2 linked regions of the Ovis aries genome follow. The protein of the gene in region 2 purifies or fractionates together with the protein of the main gene of each other region. This does not show direct contact. Links are inferred from orthologs where the notes say so. Each region holds a gene or a part of one and is shown on either strand. Other genes may lie near its edges.

Region 1 (4,229 bases), on a different chromosome or scaffold from region 2:
AAGGACATCTCAAGGTCTGGATCTCTCCAGGGAAAATGTGCCCAACGTTTTGCTGGGGGCTTGGAGTTTCCTTTGGGATGGCCACTGACTGACAATTATAAAATATACTTGCTCTGGCTCCCAAGTTCAAAAACTTTATTGTCAGGAAGTAGTGATTTCTTCTTACAGGCCTCCAACATCTTTTCCAGGGACACATCGGGTCAGGGAAGATTTTGTACCATATTCCGCTCTTACTCTCGGGGCGCACAGGTAACATCCCCTGAACTGGGAGGTCAAACTGACTTTAATAATGACTTTCGGAATGCTCGTTAATGGATACTTGGAGGACAAAGCAATTAGCTCACATATAAGCTGATGCCGGAGTCTAAAGTTGTGCTGTGGACTGTTTGGTGACTCCCAAGCCTTCAGCATCAGGGGGGTGTGGTTGCATGTGTTGTATTTGTACACGCGTGTGCATGAGTGGTGTACATTCACGTGCATTTATGCATGTACACAGATAAATATGCAGGCATGTGGGTTGTGTGTGCACCACACTCACATGTGTGTGTCTGCACGTGTGTGGGAACTCTCTGTCCAGGTGGGCGGGCTCTGCAGTCCCCCCACATTCCATGTCCCTAGACCAGCTCATGAATGTGGGGAACTGAGTTCTACTACCCAACTTACCTTCGCATTTGAGGGTTTCTCCATGAGCTTATGAAATTATCATTGGAAATGATCATATAGCTGCTACATTTGGCACATAAATTTTAAAAAATGTGTTTTGCATTAAAATAAGTAGAATGACTGTTTAGCTCGTTGTGAGTGTGTGCCTGAGTGGCCTGCGTGCTGGCCAGTCTCTCCACAAGTGACTGTTGTCTCCCCAGGGTGTGATCCTGGTATACGACATCGCGAACCGCTGGTCCTTTGATGGCATCGACCGGTGGATTAAGGAGATCAATGAGGTACAACGGGGCAGGGCTCCCTCCCTGTGGGCCCATGGAGGGGTGGGCAGGGGAGCCAGGGCACAAGGCTCCAGCCACAGCGGGGAGGACATGTCACCTCTTAGCACAGGACGAGGCCCTGCACACAGTCAGGTGGGTTGACCAGCGCTAACTAGGCTGCTATCTGCGGGCACCCTGACCGGCCCAGCTGCCAATGGAGACGTCTAGTGGTCAGTCCCATCCACTGTTGTAAGTGTCCTGGGGTGGCCGTAACAGCTCACCACAGACTGTGTGGCTGAACACAAAGGAAACTCATTCTCTGCGTTCTGGGGTCAGAGTCCAAAATCAAGGTGTTGGCTCCCTCTGTCTGAGAGGAGGGTCCTTCCTGCCTCCTCCAGCTTCTGGTGTTGCTGACAGTCCCTGGCCTTTGATCTCTGGATGCCTCACTCCATCTCTGCTCTGCCGTCATGTGCCTTCTTCCCTGAGCGTCCTGTGTCCTCTCCCCTTCTTATAAGGTCACAGTGACGGGATGTCAGGTCCACCCTAAGATCTTAACTAATTCCATCTGCAAAGCCCCTATTTTCAAAAAAGGACATATTCTGAAGTTCTACATGTATATCATCCCAGGGCACCTGTCATTACAACAACAAAGCTTGTGCCTGACCCACTTTCCTTGCCTCTTTGTCACCCTTTAGCATGCCCCAGGGGTCCCTAAGATCCTGGTGGGGAACCGCCTGCACCTGGCCTTCAAGCGGCAGGTCCCCACAGAGCAGGCCCAGGCCTACGCAGAGCGCCTGGGTGTGACGTTCTTCGAGGTCAGCCCACTGTGCAATTTCAACATCACTGAGTCCTTTATGGAGCTGGCCAGGATCGTGCTGCTGCGGCACGGGATGGACCGGCTCTGGAGGCCGAGCAAGGGTAGGTGCTCCTCCGGGCTGCCCGGCAGCCCCTCCAGCGGTCAGCCTCCCAGGACCTGCCCCCAGGTCGCTGTCTCCATTCTCATAAATCAGAGCTTCTGCCCCTTGGCACTACAGCCAGCTGGGATGGTGTGTCCTCTAGTGGGGGCATCCCCTATGCTGTGGGTGAGCTGCACCCTTGGTCTCCCTGCCCCCATTTGTGAAAACCACAAATGTCTCCAGATTTTGCCAAATGTCCTAGGGAGTCAAAATCGCCCCCAGTTGAGAAGCACTGTTCTGAAAGTTGTTAGGACCTTGATTCTAAAAGGAAGCAAAGCCTTGGGTTGTGTTTCTTCTGTCTGATGCTCCAGGGGTTGAGGAGTGCCCTGACTGCACCAAGGGTGAGACGCAGTCTCTGCTCCCAGCAGGCCCCTGGGGAGTCCCGCTCTGTTTGAGCAGGGGCTCTGACTCATAAAACGAACAATGTAGCTGAAATATAAGTGACAGCATTTGCTTTTCTGGTGTGTTCTCCAGTATGTCTTTATAAAGCTGATAACACATTATTCTGGGTCAGCTACTCTGTTGGGAAGCACATTTCCTGAAGCGCTTGGCCTCAAGCCCCAAAAGCTGGTTGCATGAATCCTGAGGAGACGTGATTGGCCATTGCAGGCCAGGACTCGTCTCTCAGACCCAGTGGGAGGGACGGTTGTGGTCTCAAGTTTGGAGGCAAACTGGGTTTAAGGAGACAAAAGCAGGACCACCTATTTCTAATTGCCCCCTGTAGGCACAGGGTGGGAGACTGGGCCTTGACGTCTTGCCCCAGAGTCCCAGAGAGGAGGGTGGACAGGCATCCTGCTGCCCCGGGGCTGGCCCCACGCCCAGGACACTGCAAGTGAACCGGGTTTCCTTTTCTTTCCCAAGTCCTGAGCTTGCAGGACCTGTGCTGCCGGGCAGTGGTGTCTTGCACGCCTGCACACCTGCTGGACAAGCTGCCGCTGCCCACGGCCCTCAGGAGCCACCTCAAGTCCTTCTCGATGGCCACCGGCCTGAGCGCCAGGATGGTGCACGGCCGGCCCTGCTCCCTCGCCACCAGCTCCGGCCACAAGAGGACCAGCCTCCGAAAAGCCAAGGGCACCCACCTCCCCCAGAGCCCCCCCAGACGCTGCTCCAGGAACAACTGCAAAGTCTCTTGAGGAGGGTGCAAGGCAGAGGAGGGGCACAGATGGGAGGGGGAGGCCGCTCTGGACCTAGACGCCTGCCAGTGTTGTGACCACGTGGCCCCGAGCAATGAAACCGAGGCTGGTACCCTGCTTACCAGATACTTCTGCATGGATGGGCATGGGGCTCTTATTTCAGACATGTGTTTATAAAGGGAAGAACTCTTGATAACATGGAATTTTGAATGTAACCTATCATGATTGCAGTGCAACTTTTTTCTTGAAATAACTACTTTTTATAAGAATGGTGATATGTTTGTGATGAGTATAAATTCTAGGGACTACAAAAAGTGGAAATGGAGAGAGAAATTAAGAGTTTTTGATGCTATGAGGGGTCTTTTTATAAACCTCCTTTTTAATGTGGAAGCACTAATTTATAAAACGCCATAGATAAGTTAGAGATTACGCACAGCCAATTTGTCCAGCTTGTGTATGAAACGGATTTGATCAAGTTTTTGCTACGTTATTTACTACGTTTTAGGATAAGTGATTTATATGCATATTTTCTGTAAATCTACATTTTTTTGTACAAATGTTTTACAAGTTATGACGCTAAAGGGAAGAAAATGCCAAAGATATTTCTAGTTACAGCAAACACACTGCAGCATGGTTACACCACGTCCAGACTGGCAAGAGAATGTCACTCAGAGCCATTTTCAGCTAAGAGTGAAGCAAACTCTGTTGTTTAAGAATGGATGTTTCCTGACAATAAAAAGCATACTCGTTTCTTGGTAGACTCGTTGGCTGCTTCTTCCTGGTTTTGTGTACTTCCATCACCCTTGATCCCATTTGCTTTATTGCCTATTTCAGTTACCACAGTCAGTGCTAGTACCTGGCATTGGCAACAGGGCTGTGTCCCTGACCTGAACCACCGAGTGAAAAGATGTCTTTTCCTGAAAAGAACGCGGAGGCAGACAGTGGGGCCTCAAGGGGCAGCTGTCCAGCCTGTGTCTGTACAGGAAGAGTGGGAGGTGCTCTGGCCCCAGTGCGTGGGGCATCACTGCCCAGCATGAGTGACGTCAAGATTGGAGCTGACTCTGCCAACACTCCTGGCAGGGCCTCCTTCCTGGTTCTACGGCTTGACTCTCTGTGGCAGATGGAAGATGTAACAATGGATTAAAAAAATAACTCTCAGAGAAGAGGAAACACCCAGTTGTCCTTGCTTTCTGTTAGTAATTTATAGTTTTTGTTTGCTT
Region 2 (4,940 bases):
TCATGCCTAGATTACTCTCTAATAAATCACTGTAAAATGTAGGCCACCTAGGTGGCATGATTGTGTCGATCTAATGAAATACAAAAGCTTTCTAAATCCCCTTCTCATTGGATTCACCACAGAGTAGTCAGACCAATCACGTTGAAATGGGAGTCTGATCATACCACTCCTCTGTTCAGAAACCTGCAATGATTGCCCATCTCACTGAGAATAAGAGCCAGTCTTTGCTGTGGTCTACAAGGCCCGAAAAGGCCTTCTGCTCTTCTTACTCTCTCTCTAAACACACTAACCTTCTAACTAACTGTTCCTCTGAAACTCTGGGCAACTTGCCACCTGTGCTCCCCCCATTGCTGTCCTCCCAAATATGTCCTGGCATTCTCCTTCACCGCTTTCAAGTCTTTTTGCTCAAATGCCATCTTCTCAGTGAGATCTACTTGGATCCCTCTGTTTAAAACTGCATTCCTCTTCTCTGCTTTATTTTACTCTATTCAGTTCAGTTCAGTCGCTCAGTCGTGTCTGACTCTTTGCGACCCCATGAATCACAGCACGCCAGGCCTCCCTGTTCATCACCATCTCCTGGAGTTCACTCAGACTCACGCCCATCGAGTCCGTGATGCCATCCAGCCATCTCATCCTCTGTCGTCCCCTTCTCCTCCTGCCCCCAATCCCTCCCAGCATCAGAGTCTTTTCCAATGAGTCAACTCTTCTCATGAGGTGGCCAAAGTACTGGAGTTTCAGCTTTAGCATCATTCCTTCCAAAGAAATCCCAGGGTTGATCTCCTTCAGAATGGACTGGTTGGATCTTGCAGTCCAAGGGACTCTATAGCTCTAACTTATTTCTCACATTTTATGTATGAATGAACAGTTCGGAAATGTGTAGAATACAATACTGGGTATATTGTTCAATTCAGTTCAGTCGCTCAGTTGTGTCCGACTCTTTGCGACCCTGTGAATTGCAGCACGCCAGGCCTCCCTGTCCATCACCAACTCCTGGAGTTCACTCAAAATCACGTCCATCCAGTCGGTGAGGCCATCCAGCCATCTCATCCTCTGTCATCCCCTTTTCCTCCTGCCCCCAATCCCTCCCAGCATCAGAGTCTTTTACAGTGAGTCAACTCTTCACATGAGGTGGCCAAAGTACTGGGGTTTCAGCTTTAGCATCATTCCTTCCAAAGAACACCCAGGGCTGATCTCCTTTAGAATGGACTGGTTGGATCTCCTTGCAGTCCAAGGGACTCTCAAGAGTCTTCTCCAATGCCACAGTTCAAAAGCACACACAGGTATATTGTAGATTCTACATATAAATTATATTCCCTTTATTTGGCCAGTGGTTTGAGGTCTGAAGTGATAAAGCGTAGGGGTCTTAGGGTATAGGATGTGCTGGTATACCTGATCAACCTCTTAGAGGTTATTTCAGTGCCAGGCCCTCTTGAGTAGAAATATTAATAGTTAACACGTTCGTGCATGGATTCATTGATTCATGCAAACAAATATTTCTTGGGGCCCTTCTATGCGCCAGTTCTTGAAAACAGCTATTACAAGCATTTCACTCAGGATAACGTCTTTTTCGTAACCTCCCCACAGCACGCGGCGGTGGAAGACACATACTCCTGCCAGCAGAGGGCGTCCCCTCGCCCTCGCGGCGTGTTCTGGGCCCACGACGCTTTCAGGCTCCCACGCTCGCTCCCGAGCGCGGCCCCGCCTGCCGCGTCACGTGACGCGGCCGCCGAACCAGAGCGGCCGGTCCCAAACCGAGCTAAATTCGTTGCCAGTGGCCTCTGCGGGTGCCACCACAGAGGCTCATCTGAAGGAGTGGGGAGGCTCGTGGAGCCGATGCTTCCTCTTCCGATTTCAGGTCGGCTCCTGTTCCCTCTCACCTTTCGCCGCTGCCGTCTCCCCGAGTGTTTGCATGAGCTCTCTCGTACGGGGAGGCCCCGGTGACCATGTAGGGAGGGAAGAGCGAGGAAGCTCCGGGAGTGAGGGACGAGGTCAGCGCTGTGTGCACGCCGGCGCCCACCACATCCACAGTGCGGGCCGGGGGGCCCCTCGGCCCAGGTGGGACACTCGGGCCTGCAGTAGTGGCCTGGCACGGAGCTCCACGAAATCTCGCGCGGTCTCGCGAGAGTCTAAGTTGAAGGAATATGGCGACGTCTAATCTGTTAAAGGTAAGACCCTCAGTCCGTCTTGGATTTCTACTCCGGGAGCGGTGGGTTCAGCTCTCGGGGAATGGCTCGGTTCTGGTTCAGCGGCGAAATGGGGGAGTGTTCAGGGGTTGTCTACCGGAAGGGAAGCCAGGGAGGCAGCCGCCGAGGAGTGGAACGCGATTCTCCGGCCTTGGGGTCGAGAGGCCCTGGTTGTCCCTGGTGCCGGTTGCCTGGTGTATGAAAGGCCCGGCCGAGGGCCGACGGCGGGCAGTGGTCTCAAGGGGCCAGCGCTGGCTCGGGACCCCGGAAGAAAGGTGGTGCAGCGTCCTGACGGATCGGTCAGTTAGTGTCCTTAGGGTCTCAGTTTCTTCTGAAGCGGGAGTCTTGAGACGCATTAAAAAAAAAAAAAAGAAAAGAAAATCCCAGAAAATGTTGCTAACAGGTTTTAATGACTTGGATCCCCACCTCCTCAGTTTCTCTTCTCATTCTGTCTGCGCGGAATTCCAAGTCAGACGGCAGCGCCTGAAGCCCCAACTCCCTCCCTTAACTGCGGGCTACACCTTCTCTTCTGTTCTTCCTTTCTTGAGTTCGTATGTTTACCCTTTTTAACTTAGGAAACTGTTCCTCAACCCCATTACAGCACGCAACCAGATGACTACAGTGGAAGCACTGCCGTTGTCTTAGGGCTTAGGAAAGTTGCCTTATCAAAGACAACCGTTAAAGTTAGTTTTATGTATTTGGGATAGCAAGGGGGATCTAGGCCTAGAGAAGCGGATTCTTTACCATCAGTTACAAAGTTGAGAGGAGAAGGAGGAAGACCTGACACTAGTTTCGTCTGTGGTATGTTTGTAGTAGGCAATACTTTATACCTTAAAAGTACTACTGAAATGGGGGTAGTGGATGAACTACTTCTCCCTCAAAAACCCTGTCAATTAGGCCTTCAGACAGTGTTGATAGAGAATAGAAAATATATTAAAACTTACTGTAACCTCACTCTTGTCTTCTTTAGACTACTGATACTAACTGTATTAGTCCCTCTAATTTTACTAATTTTAGAGGCAGTGTGTCTTCTTTTGGAGAAGGGAATGGCAACCCACTCCAGTGTTCTTGCCTGGAGAATTCCATGGATAGAGGAGCCTGGTCGGCTACAGTTCAGAGGGTCACAAAGAGTGACACTACTGAGCAACTAACAAACATATATACACCGCCCCCGCCCCTCCCCGCCCCGCCCCTCCCCTCCTACCCAACCCCGTGTCTTCTTTTAAAAGAGGGAGGGACCTAGAACTAGACCTAATTTCTGCTACTTAGAATTTCTGCTCCATGACTTTGGGCAAGTTTCTCTCCGTTCCTGAGTTTCCTCATCAATATAGTGAAATTATCAATAGCACTTACTTCATAGGAACTTTGTGAAGATTGAGTTAGTATATGTATAATCTTAAAACAGCGACTGGATCTTAACTGGCATGCAATACACATAAATTGCTACAGTTACTACTGCTGTTTCTCTAAGAAGACAAGTTCATGGGAGTTGAGTAACTCACTTCTTTTATAGCAGTATAGCAAAGTTCTAATATATTAATTCAGAAAGAAAACTAACTTGCAAAGACTCCTGTTAATGTATCCATGTATTTACATAACCAATAGTGTATGTTATTAATTGAAATGTGTTGAAGAAGTAATTGTGAATTTTTGACTTACTGATAATGTGGATGTAAAGCAAAGTCTTTTTTTCCTCCCAGATTTGTGTCTCAGGAAAGAGTGAGTCACTTTATTCTACTCCATACAAAGCCTTACAAAGCATTGTTTGGAGGAGATAAAAGTCTGAAGCTCCTTCGTTCAATACTCTTAAGTCGTTACCTTGTAGAGATTATGAATCTGTATGTATAGCACACACCCACCTATAAACTGAAAACACCTGAATGTATAGAAATAGGTGCTTAAGACTTAGGTTAAAAAGATCATAATTCGAGCAGTTCTGTAACTCAACTTTTATAAATAAAAGGAAAGTGATAATGTTCTGACAAAACTGGTAAAAGTCACAGTCTCTAGGGAATACAAAAAGATGACAGATACACTGGAAAATTTTCAATAAAATTATTTAATGAGATGTTGAAAAGGGGGTAAAAGAATTTCTCAATATTTTATGTAGTATGTGATTTTTAAATACATACAACTAACAGTGGATATTATAAGTAGACATTTGATTCTTTTATCTGTATCACCAAAAGTTTCCTTATTTACATTGGTCAGAAAAGTTTTTTTTCCTTTTTTTCTCTCCTCATTGAAGTGTGTGGATGGGGGGGATGGCGGGGGTTGTCTTGTATTTATGCCTTTAGAAATATTTAATGAAAAAGTAGGAAGTTTGTCTTGGAGAAATGGCAGGGAGACCCTTACCAGAATTCATAGGGTCATTTGAATTAAAGTCTGGAGGAGGTTGAGGGGAAGGGATGGACTGGGAGTTTGGGATTAGCAGATGCAAACTACTGTACATATAGAAAATAGAACGGATAAACAACAAGGTGCTACTTACTATATAGCACAAGGAACTATATTTAATATACTGTGATAAACCACAGTGGAAAAGAACATTGGAAAGATTGTATATATTTATGTGTGTGTGTGTATAACTGAATCACTTTGCTATAAAGCAGAAATTAACACAGCATTGTAAATCAACTGTACTTCAATTAAAATATAAATAGATCAGTAAATAAATTCAAGTTTGGTAATACCTTGAATAGTCATAGATCTGGCTAGGGAATGGCCAAGTTAGCTTCATTTCCTTTTTTGACAGGT

The links.
Region 1: the proteins of CUL5 (region 2) and RAB40B purify together in Homo sapiens (affinity purification with mass spectrometry; 5 studies listed by BioGRID and IntAct, counting the BioPlex papers as one, with this or other methods). This does not show direct contact. The link is inferred for Ovis aries from reciprocal best matches to the Homo sapiens genes CUL5 and RAB40B.

The regions. Positions count from the first base shown.
Region 1 is NC_056064.1:49,672,691-49,676,919, forward strand, and holds the end of RAB40B (ras-related protein Rab-40B), read left to right. Parts: intron 1-188; coding exon 189-249; intron 250-863; coding exon 864-941; intron 942-1,615; coding exon 1,616-1,838; intron 1,839-2,737; coding exon 2,738-3,009; 3' UTR 3,010-3,767; downstream 3,768-4,229. UniProt on the Homo sapiens protein: RAB40B small GTPase acts as substrate-recognition components of the ECS(RAB40B) E3 ubiquitin ligase complex which mediates the ubiquitination of target proteins.
Region 2 is NC_056068.1:17,271,991-17,276,930, forward strand, and holds the start of CUL5 (cullin-5), read left to right. Parts: upstream 1-1,712; 5' UTR 1,713-2,141; coding exon 2,142-2,165; intron 2,166-4,940. UniProt on the Homo sapiens protein: Core component of multiple cullin-5-RING E3 ubiquitin-protein ligase complexes (ECS complexes, also named CRL5 complexes), which mediate the ubiquitination and subsequent proteasomal degradation of target proteins.